3 linked regions of the Arabidopsis thaliana genome follow. The protein of the gene in region 1 interacts with the protein of each later gene in a biochemical or structural test. Each region holds a gene or a part of one and is shown on either strand. Other genes may lie near its edges. The genes, in order: LUG, HD1 and SEU.

What was found.
Region 2: the proteins of LUG (region 1) and HD1 form a complex in vitro, tested with the Arabidopsis thaliana proteins (one study listed by BioGRID).
Region 3: the proteins of LUG (region 1) and SEU form a complex in vitro, tested with the Arabidopsis thaliana proteins (one study listed by BioGRID).

The regions. Positions count from the first base shown.
Region 1 is NC_003075.7:15,705,476-15,709,229, reverse strand, and holds the start of LUG (transcriptional corepressor LEUNIG), read right to left. Parts: upstream 1,750-3,754; 5' UTR 1,368-1,749; coding exon 1,336-1,367; intron 591-1,335; coding exon 493-590; intron 378-492; coding exon 268-377; intron 1-267.
Region 2 is NC_003075.7:17,897,334-17,901,087, forward strand, and holds the start of HD1 (histone deacetylase 1), read right to left. Parts: upstream 2,177-3,754; 5' UTR 1,971-2,176; intron 1,730-1,970; 5' UTR 1,725-1,729; coding exon 1,197-1,724; intron 1,113-1,196; coding exon 672-1,112; intron 542-671; coding exon 311-541; intron 56-310; coding exon 1-55. Other genes in the region: AT4G38140 (RING/U-box superfamily protein), read right to left, coding at 2,535-2,972. UniProt on the Arabidopsis thaliana protein: Responsible for the deacetylation of lysine residues on the N-terminal part of the core histones (H2A, H2B, H3 and H4).
Region 3 is NC_003070.9:16,615,336-16,619,089, reverse strand, and holds the start of SEU (SEUSS transcriptional co-regulator), read right to left. Parts: upstream 2,103-3,754; 5' UTR 1,598-2,102; intron 1,479-1,597; 5' UTR 1,219-1,478; coding exon 253-1,218; intron 169-252; coding exon 49-168; intron 1-48. UniProt on the Arabidopsis thaliana protein: DNA-binding adapter subunit of the SEU-LUG transcriptional corepressor of the C class floral homeotic gene AGAMOUS during the early stages of floral meristem development.

The sequences.
Region 1 (3,754 bases):
TTATTAACTTAACCAAAACAAAATAGAAATACTCCAGCTTAGTCAATCATCCATAACATACTAATTGGACAAAACATTTCTGATTTTACATATTCAACTCCAAATTCTTCTCTTAAAACAGAAAGGAAAAGAGAACACCATTCAACTGTACACAATGAAGGTGCTAACTAACTCCATATCACTAACTAAAGAGACTATCGCAGCTTTCCGCAGTTATATAATCACTAGTATCCCTAGTGGTCAGGGTAAAAAAGAAAAGAGACCTACCTCTATGTAAGATGCAGCAACCTCGGAATGCTTCTCATTGGTCCTAGCAATAAATATATCCCAGAAGACAGACCACCACTCAAACAGAAATCCACCAGGTGCGTCAATAGCTACAAAACAATGCAATAAGAAAATGAAGTTCATTAGGAAACAGAGCAACTGCAGAACAAATAATCTTTATAAAGAATAGTAGCCAAAAAGCTTAAGAAGATTGTGATTTCTTACCAACTGGATCCGATGACACTTTTCCTTCAGCTTGGAAAGCCTGAGCTGTAGCTTTCAAATCTCTTTTAACCAGATAATCATGGATATAGACATCCAACCTGTTACATTCAAAAATTTGTCTTTAAAACCCCAACAAAGGGCACTCGCCAAACAGGGGCTTAACTTCCTACTTAACAATGTCCCATAAACAAACCATCCAGTTATGAGCAAAAACACCAAAATCAGGAAACTTTCTTGAAGGAGCTTAAAGTCACATACTTGCATACAAAAAGGAAGAGTGAAATTGGGACAGTAACAAAAGAAACATGATGCCACAAGAGTCAACCAGAATGCGATAAACCAAATATCCAAAAAAATAATTACAAGCTCCTTGACAGTGACTGACAACACAAAGAACTAAACTTTGGCCAAAACATGCAAAATTTACCTAACTAAAAAGTTCCCCCCAACCACAGAAATCTAGCAAAGAAATGCTTTCTGAGAATAGAAACTAGAGAAACCCGCAAAGTAACACAACCCCCCTCTAACGGCAAAACAAAGCAAGAATGCCAATAAAGGAGAAAACTAAATATAAAAAATGCGATAAGTTAGTAATAAGCAAACCCACAAAATCAGCAGAATCCAGATCAAGTAGAAGCAACAAAATATTGAAACTTAACTCTGAACACAAACCCTAAAATCAAACTGTAGCCGGGGAACGAGAAAAACAATGCGTTTATAAAATCCGAACCCTAGAAATCACTTAAAAACACTCAGAATCTAAAACCCAACAAAAAAGTTAACACCTTTAGTAGGAAGGAGAACAATTACAAGAATCAAAACCCATAAAAAAGAAGAACTCACATTTTATCAGCTTCCCAGTTGGTCTGAGACATCTCTGTATAGTTCTTTGGACAAAACTAACCCCACAGACAGTTGTTAAGAATGTCAGATTCTCATGTAAATAACTAATAATGAGATATCTTCTTACATAAAAGCGCTTCTTCACAATCCTCTCAGAAATTATTATTGCACAGCAGAGAGAACCCAATTTCAATTATATTTCCCCCTTTTTCACCTCCCCACCTAATTTCCCCAGAAACTGAAGAAGATTTAACACTTCACAAATAAGCTAAACCAAACAAAAAAAATAGAGAGAACGAAAGTAAATAGAGAGAGAGAGAGAAAACGAAACAAAATATTTAGAGAGAGAAAGTTCGAGAGAAAGAAGAAGAAAGCATCTCTCTGTAAAAAAGCATTAGAAGTAGCTCAGCTCTTCTGATTAATAGCAACTAGCGATTTAATCAATTAAAATTTTTATTCTAATTTATTAATGTACTAAAAGAATAAGTACATCTTTTTTTTACAAAAAAAAACATTTCAGTGTAAATTTCGTTTTTTTCATTTGGAGAAAACGTGTTTTTCGTTATTTTAGTAATATTTTTACTTCATCAGAATAAAAATGTTGACCGGATAAGTATATTTATTTTATTGTATCAAACTTAAAAAGTAGTTTCCATGTCAGTTGTTTTGGGTGGACGGAATTGCAGAAGATATATTATGAGGTTAGCTTTATTCCTGTAAAATTACCAAAAAGCCCTCATAGTGTTGTATAATTTACGTGACGTAGCACGCCTTTGGCAAAGCACTTTTGCTTTTAATGACAAAATTAACCTTTTAATAATCAATAGATTGACGTAAATATCTTTTTCATTTTAACGTATCTGTATATTCATTCTTTCCTTTTTTTCCAATTTGTCTTGTTCGCTGTAAATCTTATCAAATTCATATTTCCTTTTTCATTTTTATGACATTTTTAGGATCATAGAGGGAACAAACAGTCCTTTTTCATTTTATCAAAATCATAACTACTCGAATTCAATTGTTTAAATCAATTGTGTATATCGGTCATTTTCCTATCATTTCATTAGTTTTATTAAATCGTTTAATTATTTACAAAAATCCATGTGACTTAAGTTCGTGAGCTTAAAGTCTTTTTAGGCTACTTTTGGAAAACAATTGAGGTTTTCTAAAGATCCATACAAAAACAGAGTAATTTAAGTTCTTAAAGCAAAAAATATGTGCTTCTGTTTTTACTAATCCATCTTGAAAAGTCGTTTGATGTGAGGCCCAACATTAAATCTCAGGTCCATAAGACCAAGGCCTTGCATAAAATCAAATTCGGTAACGAAATGAATCAACGAACGGCATGATTTTTGGAGGTTGGTTCTAAAAGAATTTGAAACTATCAAGAGTTTTTAATTAGTCAATTCTGTTTTCATGACAACTACGACAATTCTGTTTTCATCACAACTACGATTCTAAGAGCTGACCCCTACTAGGCTACAAACACACAGAAAGCTGCCAGACCTGGAACAAGAAATTCTCAATTTGCGGTCGCCAAGATCTTTGAGCATGTAACAAAACCCTCATCTTTATAATATATATTCACTAGATTCATTGTGTAGGAAAATAATTTGTGATTACCCTACCTTACATGTTTGCCTTGAAAATTTTCGTATATCTAATTTGATACGCAAGAAAGTCTCTAACAAATTGTAGTGATAAAGATGATTATTATTTTTGTAGTGGCGTCCAATTTTTTTTTATTAAAATGTTAATATACAAGCTGAATTATATTTGGAATATTGAATACAGTCGTTATATTATTGAGTATTCTTGAATCAGTTTGTAGTTGTACATTTCATAGGTGTTGCTGAGAATACTATTTATATGAATATAACAATATGATTGGATGTAATGTTGCTGACATTACCAAAATGTCGGTTCCAGAGCTCTTTATTGTTGAGACTTGAGACAATTCAAGTATATGCGTAGACCTCACACCACTACCAGTACCCATACTACAATTCTTATCTGTTGATTTAAAAAAAAAGAAAAATGGTAAACATAAATGGAAATGAGACGTTTATGTGCAACGATTTTAAAATTGTCATCCAAATTTGATCCTGTAACAATGGAGGAAGAATTTGCGCAAGAGAAAGAATCATGAGGAAAAAAAAAAAAAAAAAATCACGAGGAAGCAAAAGTCAGCGCAAAGACTCAAATTAATTTATTTTTATTTTTTTTAAAAAAGACTCTGAAATAGCTGAATAAGAAAGGTAACTGGGCCATGGGGAGGGGGGGGGGAAGTTATAAGGTAACTGGGCCATACGGACAATTAAGCCCATAATTATTTCATGTTTTGGTAGGAATTGAGCCCACATTTATTTAGAGGATTATCAAAATGGCAGACCTAATTGTTTTTTTTTTTTTTTTTTTT
Region 2 (3,754 bases), 2.2 Mb from region 1:
CCATGTCTGAATCCGGATCCCATCTTTTATCCCCATCTTCTTGGTCTTCATCAACCTATAATTTACATAGAAGGCATATTTTACAAAACTAAGATTGGTAACAACCAGAGTCATCAATCAAGGAATACTTATACATATCTAACTGGACGAACATTATTTACCAGCCCAGCTGTTTAAATTAGAAAATTCTTATTGTAACTGCAGTTACACTTAGATAAGCTCACCAAAACCCATGAGGAAATGCAAGAAAGAATGGGCAACAGAAATAAAGGAGCCAACACACTTCAAATGATTTGCTCAAGTGGCATACCTCGGGAGTCTCTGTATCAGGTGGTCTTTCCTGAAATGGTACACTTGGAGCATGCTGAAGCTTAGAGAGATTGTGGAGAAGGTCATTGCGAATCTCTTCAAGCATCTGACGAGAATTCTTATTTTCCATGTTACTTGGAGCAACGTGAAGTGTATAGTCTGGACCAAAGTATTCATAATATTCATGCTCCGGCATCTTGTCTTCAACTTCAACTCCAAGTGCAACTCCAGTCTGTCATATAAACAGTTTGTTGTAATAAATTCAAAGAAAGAGAGGCGTCACAGAGGGCTAACCTTGGTACAGAGACCAAGGAAATTTCAATGCAAAGCTAGAGCAGCATAAAATGAACAGAAGAAAGTACCTCGTAGCACCAGCAACGGGCAACATTGCGGATAGTGTAACCACCACCACCCAAGAGCAGTAGGGGAACATTGAACGATCTCATAAATTTGACGCACTCAGCATGACCTTTGATTGAAAGATTAAAGCACCCCAACCTATCACCAGACAATGAATCAGCACCACATTGCAATACCACAGCCCCTGGTCGGAAAATTTCCATAACTTTCCCCATGATGGGCTTGAATAACAGATGATAGCTCTCATCATCGATTCCATCATCCAGTGGTACATTGAGAGAATAGTACTTTCCGCTACCATAACCTATATCCTGAATGTGACCTGTACCGGGAAAGTAATCACCAAATTTATGAAACGAGACAGTCATAACCCTGTCAGTAGCATAAAATGCCTCCTCCACTCCATCCCCGTGGTGGATATCAATATCGACATAAAGAACACGCTGCAAACGAGAGAGGAAGAGTTAGAGATTCAGAAACGACATAACCATCCCTAGCATATATCAAAACGGTGCAGGTGGACAAACCTCATGCTGCTTAAGGAGCTCTAGGATAGCTAAGACGATATCATTGACGTAACAGAAGCCAGAGGCCTCGCACTTCTTAGCGTGATGGAGACCACCAGCCCAGTTGATGGCAATATCGCAGAGGCCGTGGTTAAGCTTGACAGAGCCACCAACAGATCCTCCAGCATAGGTCTGGCAAAAGGAATAAAGGCCGTCAAAGACGGGACAGTCTTCACCAACATTGAAGCGCTTAAGTTGGCGAATCTGATCTTGCTGGGTTTCAGGGGTAATGCTGCGGAGAAAAGAGACATAGTCGTCGGCGTGGAAGCGGCAGAGATCACGGTCGCGGGCAGGGAAGGGCTTGAGAACCTGCATATGCTGAAGGAGACCGTAGTGAGCGAGGAGGGCATGGGTCATGCGGATGCGATGGGGCTTCATGGGATGACCTTGGCCATAGTAGTAATTGCCGACCTCAGGGTCATAGAAATAACAAACTTTCCTCTTCACACCATCAGGTCCGGACGCCAGCGAATTGCCGCCAGTATCCATTACCTCTGCACGCACGCCGATCCATAAAAATTATATTATTAAAAAATGATAACTAAACCCTAGCCGCGGAGTAGCTGAGCCATGGACGCGTTTGAATGACAACAACAACATTTTTTTAAGTTACGAAAAAATCAAATCTAGTGTGCAGAAGAGACAGGAAGGCGAGTGAAAGATATTAAAAGACGGCGAGGCTAGACAGACGCCGGAAAATGGAATCACGCAGACAAGGAAGAGAGTCTGACTGACCTTTTTCGTAGGATCAACGGTGTGTTGTAATCACAGTCGCAGTCAAATGGTCGGAGGAGAAGCTGCGATGATCTCTCTCTCTCTCTCTGGCTTTCTTCTTCCTTCCTCCTCGCCGAGGGGAAGGGAGCTGCTCTCTGCTTTGCTTTCAGATTTTCTTTCACCTCTGACTGAAACTGTAGCCTACTTACTCTTCTCTTCCAACTTTTTCTACTTTCAGTTTATAATGGAAAGGCCCACTTTTAATCTGTTATGGTTTAAAATGAGGCCCACTTTTAATGTGTTTTAAAAATAAGGCCTATTAAGTTGCCTTTAGCCCGTTTACTTAATGGTCTTACGCAGAGTAACAAATCAATTAGGAAACAGAGCACTAGAGCAGCAGTAGGCACTAGGCAAGGCTGGTAAAACTAAACTCGTGCTGCTTTTGTCTCTGTTTAGTACAGTATATCATAAAACTGAGTAATCCACAAAATCTTGATTGAAAAGGAGATGGAGACAATATGTGCTTGGAAACTAAGACAAAATACATGTTAAATAAAGAATGGGTGTGTTAACAAGGAAGCTAGGCTACAAGTATCCAAGTAGATGGAGAAAGATACAGAAAAAGAAGAAGATAGAGAGATACAAGGTGGAAGAGGAGTGTGCATTATTGACATTTTGTGTAGGAGGAGTTGGAGCCAATACAAATGATCTGCAGAGAGGGCAAGTGAGGTGGCCACGGAGAAGCCAAGGTTCTATGCAATTGATATGGAAGAGATGAGCGCATCTGGGAAGATGGGTCACCGCATCCTCAGCCTCAAACTCCACCAGGCATATGGGGCAGCAAATTTCCTCCTCCTTTTCCTTGTCCCCAAACATCACTCCCACTAGGTTGTAACCGTCATCATCATGCGCATCCGCATCTCCACCATTCTTCTTCAACCTCCCCAAGGGAATGCACACACATGTGTAGAATACTATGGCTGCTGTGCACAAAGGCGACCGCGGAAACAACATTGAAATCATCTTTCTCCAGCTTTCTGCTTCTTTACCTCATTCCTTCCCTCTCTTTTATAGACTAATATCATCGAGTAGGGACGGCGCCGACCCCACCTCCCATCTCTTATTATATTCTTTTGTTGTTTTTCTTTAATCAAGTCAGCGATTCTCCCAACTCCAAGAAAACTCTTGGAGAGGTTATGGTCAACATACGAGATGCACATGCTTCCATCTTAAGCACTACCTGATACTTGCATTTAACAATAGTAAACAATACAAGAATCACATGACGCCAAAAGTAAACAAACAAAAGATGGCATTCATATCCAGTGTATTATTTATATATATATTAAAAGTAAGGAGTCATTCTTCCATCAAGACAGGCCTTGACTTCCGAGTTCACGAATATAATACAGCCGACCAAATCAAGTAAAGATCTCCGAGTGAATCATAAAAACTATTTTAATGTTGACTCCACGCATTTTGTATTCAATATAGCGCCAGCTTCTACAGAACAGACCTCCACGTCCCTGAGATCAGCAGTGCCTTTGGAGGATGATGTAGTTTTATGCCTGGTGTATGTAACCAATGATACTATTGTTCATATTTGTTCATGAAGTCGGCCACATTTGCAATAGACAGTCACATACATCATTGGTAATGACTGATAAGCGTCAAGCATAATTTGACACCCTATACCGCCAACACAACGCTATTCATTGAACTTGCAATCAATATTAGAATGCATGAAAACAGGGAACTACATCTACAACTACACATTTTTAAAGGACATAGGAAAAAAAAAAAAA
Region 3 (3,754 bases), on another chromosome or scaffold:
TTACAATTGTATTACAAACAAGATAAGTTCATTGAGCAGTAAACCAACCTGAGGGAAAACGCCTGTTGTTTGCCTGCCACTGCCATACATAGAGACGCACCATCTCTTTTTGGCATTAGGAGCAAAGTACTCAGCTACAAATTTTCTCCAGAACTCGATATTATTGTCCTGCATTTAATAGCAAGCACAAATGTCAATTATGAAGAAAAGCCATAGGCTGAAAGAAGTTAAATTTATGGTAAGAAGCTTTACTTCAGGCCTATGTTGTTGTCTGTACATATACTGTGTAAGACGCTGAGCACCCATGCCAGGTTCATACACTGGTTTCAGAGGTGGCCTTAGAGGTAAATTCTGCTGTTGGAACTGCTGTGGTAATTGAGGACGCTGTTGAGGCATAGATTTCAAGAGTTGCTGTTGTTGAAGTTGCATAAGTCTCTGCTGCTGAAATATGTTCATTTGAGCCTGCGGAGATTGCCCCGGCATTTGAAGAAATTGTTGTTGTTGTTGTTGCTGTTGTTGCCTCTGCTGTTGTTGGAGAAACAATGACTGCTCAGAATGTTGAGGTTCCATTTTCACTTGGGCCAAATTTCTCATGGCCTGAATTTGCTGCGGTTCCAACTTAACTGACCCTAGGTTTCTCAACATTTTCTGTTGCTGCTGTTGTACTTGACCATGCTGCTGATCATTCGAAACCTGACCAGGCTCCATCTTAACAGGTCCCACACCTGCTAATCCACCACCACGCACTGTCGAAAACTGCTGCTGCATTGACTGCTGCTGACCATGTTGAAAACTCTGCGTCTCCATTTTCTTATTCCGTTGTTGCTCAGCCAACAACTGGTTAGCCGAAACATTCGAAAACTGCTGACCCTGAACTTGACCTGATGAGCGCGGAGACACCATACTCGACGCATTAAAAGACGACAAACCACTAAACCCGACGTTAGACATCGGGTCAGACTCAGCACCACTTGTATCCATAGAAATCATAGAACCAGGGATACCATTTACAAAAGACTGATTATTGAGAAGAGAAGATATATTTGGAGCATTCCCAAGCATACTCATACTCATATTGTTACCAAACTGAGTACGCGGAGAGACAAGTGAAGGAAATGCTGGTTGAGAAGGAAGAGGAGCTCCTCCTTGTCCTCCTAATATCGAAGGCGGAACATTTTCACCACCCCCAACAGGATTAGGCGGCTCTGATGGTACCATACTCTTACTAATTCACAACTCCACAATCAACAAAGAAAGCAAGAAACAAAACTGACGACTTTATAAAACTCAGCTCTGTGTAGGAGCAAAGACGTATTCTTTCTGAGCAATGATAAGCTTCAGAGTCGTAAACACCACGGAAAGAGATGAATCTGAGTGATGAGATTCCGTATCGAACATTCTAGAACCAAACAACACTGTCTGTTGATTACTTACAGATCTAAATTAAGCAAATCTACTCCATTTCCAACTCTCACCACCTTAACAAAACAAAAGCATAATGTTAAGAACAAACCCAGAAAGAAAAAAACGAAACTTTGATCAAACCCTAATTGAGAAAAAAAACAGAGATTACTAGTGAGAATCTATAGAAACTTACCCAGAGGTGGAATTGAAGAATAAGTCTCTGATAAGACTCAAAACAAAGAGAATCGAACAAAAAGGAAGAGACTTTACACAACTAAAAATCTGAAAACTTCCGATGAACAAAATCTTGAAGAAATTTGAAGTCTTTTAGGGTTTTTTATTGATGGGTTTGGGGATAAAGAGACGAGAAGACAAAGAGAAACAAAAAGAAGTAGAAACAAATTTTCTCTGCCGCCTAGAAATTGTAGTTTCTGGGTTTTATTAAAAATTATACCTTTTTAAGCTTCACAGAGTAATTTGTGTCCTGTTCTTCGCTGTAGAGAGAGAGAGAGAAGAGAGAAAGAAGAAGATGAGAAGAGAGAGAATAGTGTCCTTGCGGACGTCAAAATTGTATTCGATCGGATTTATTTCATTCCCTTTCTTACTTTTTCTTTTTCAGTCTCTCTCTCTCTTCTTCTTCTTCTTCAAAGGAAGTCAATGACATGCCCTAGAAATGTTTTTTTTTTGTAATCACAATCTGGATTTTTTTTTTTTGTTAGCCACAAACATTTTTCTCTTTATTTTATTGGTTTTAGTGTTAAATTGTTATTTTTCCATTCAGAATACTATCACTTTTAAATACCTTAAGAAAAGTTTGATTTAGAAAGATATCAAAAGTTTAATATACACATCAATAGTGTTTTTTCTTAGAATGTAAAGTTTGGTTTAAAAGAACATAATGGAAATGACACTATTTTTATTTGTTTTTAGTTCTAAATTTGATATAGAAATTTTTCTTTCTTTTTTTGGTTTTAGTTTTAAATTTGATATAGAAATATATCAATATTTAATATATTACTACATTAATAGTGGTTTTTCTGTTTAAAGTTTATTTAAATGTGTAAATTTGGTTTGAGAGAGAGAATGGAAAACAAGACTATTTTTAAGAAAAAATATAATTATGGAACGACAACATAAAATTAATTTGAAAGCGGATTTATGTATGAGATTAAACAACTCGAGTTTGATCTTCATCCCTTGCTTAGATGATTTTTTTTTCCCATTCCCCTTATATATTCTTTTTCGTCTCAACTTTCTATCTTTTTTCTTTTGTTCAAGTTTTCTTAATTATTTTTGTCTACGCTTTTTAGATAATAAAAACTGCTTCTTATTTTCTTTATTTTATTGTCTACATGGTTTCATTACATAGAAGCTGAACTATAATAATCATGATGGTATTTTAAAGTTATAAAGCAAAGAAAATAAATATTATATACAAATGAAACTCCACAAGGAATTCTCACGGTTTAGAGTATTTGCATATTCATTTGTTTAATAAACCGTTTTCTATTAATATTAGAAAATATATAAAAAAAATAATTCAGTTTTTTAGTCTGATGTGTTGCAGATCATTTTCTAACATAAATATATTTAAAAGAAAAAATCAGACATGAGAGCATATATATGAACCATTGCTGAATATAAATCTTAAATACCTCATTTTTTCTGAACCTAATAATGCATGTAACCAATTTTAAGTCAAAAGCATTTTTTTGTGTGTTAAAATGTTAAATTTATTAGTCAACAAAAAGAAAAAATATGTATAAAGAGTTGAGAGAGTGCTTCACCCGGTTTAACAACACCACAAACCAAATAGCTTTTATATTGATTTAAATTACAATCACTAATGGTTAAAAAAACAGACTCATATATAGCCAAAGATATTGGTATTGCAAGAACTTCTCCTGCCATTGGAAACATGGTTGAATATTTTGATCTATTTATTTTTACTACCTTAAAACATGGTTGAGTATATCTGACTCGTCTTTTTGATATGTTTCCAACTCATTTACAGAAAGAAGATTGTAGACTTAAACTGGTCTATCAAACACTATACTCAAATTATCTCTACAAAATATTTATCAGCAAATTATTATTTCTCACACTTTAGATTACCTTATCCACGTATAAGTTTAAAGCTAAACAATGCAAATATCATTATATGAAAATGATCAAATATTTTAGCCACTATCAATATTTTATTGGCTTTTTCTATATCTTCTCAATATCTATCAAATTTGGATGTCATTGCATAAATCATATCTCTCAAATCTTACGTTAAACCCTAAATACCATACTTGATTGTTGTATATCTCATTGTAGTAACTATTTGATGTTACTTTATAGAAGA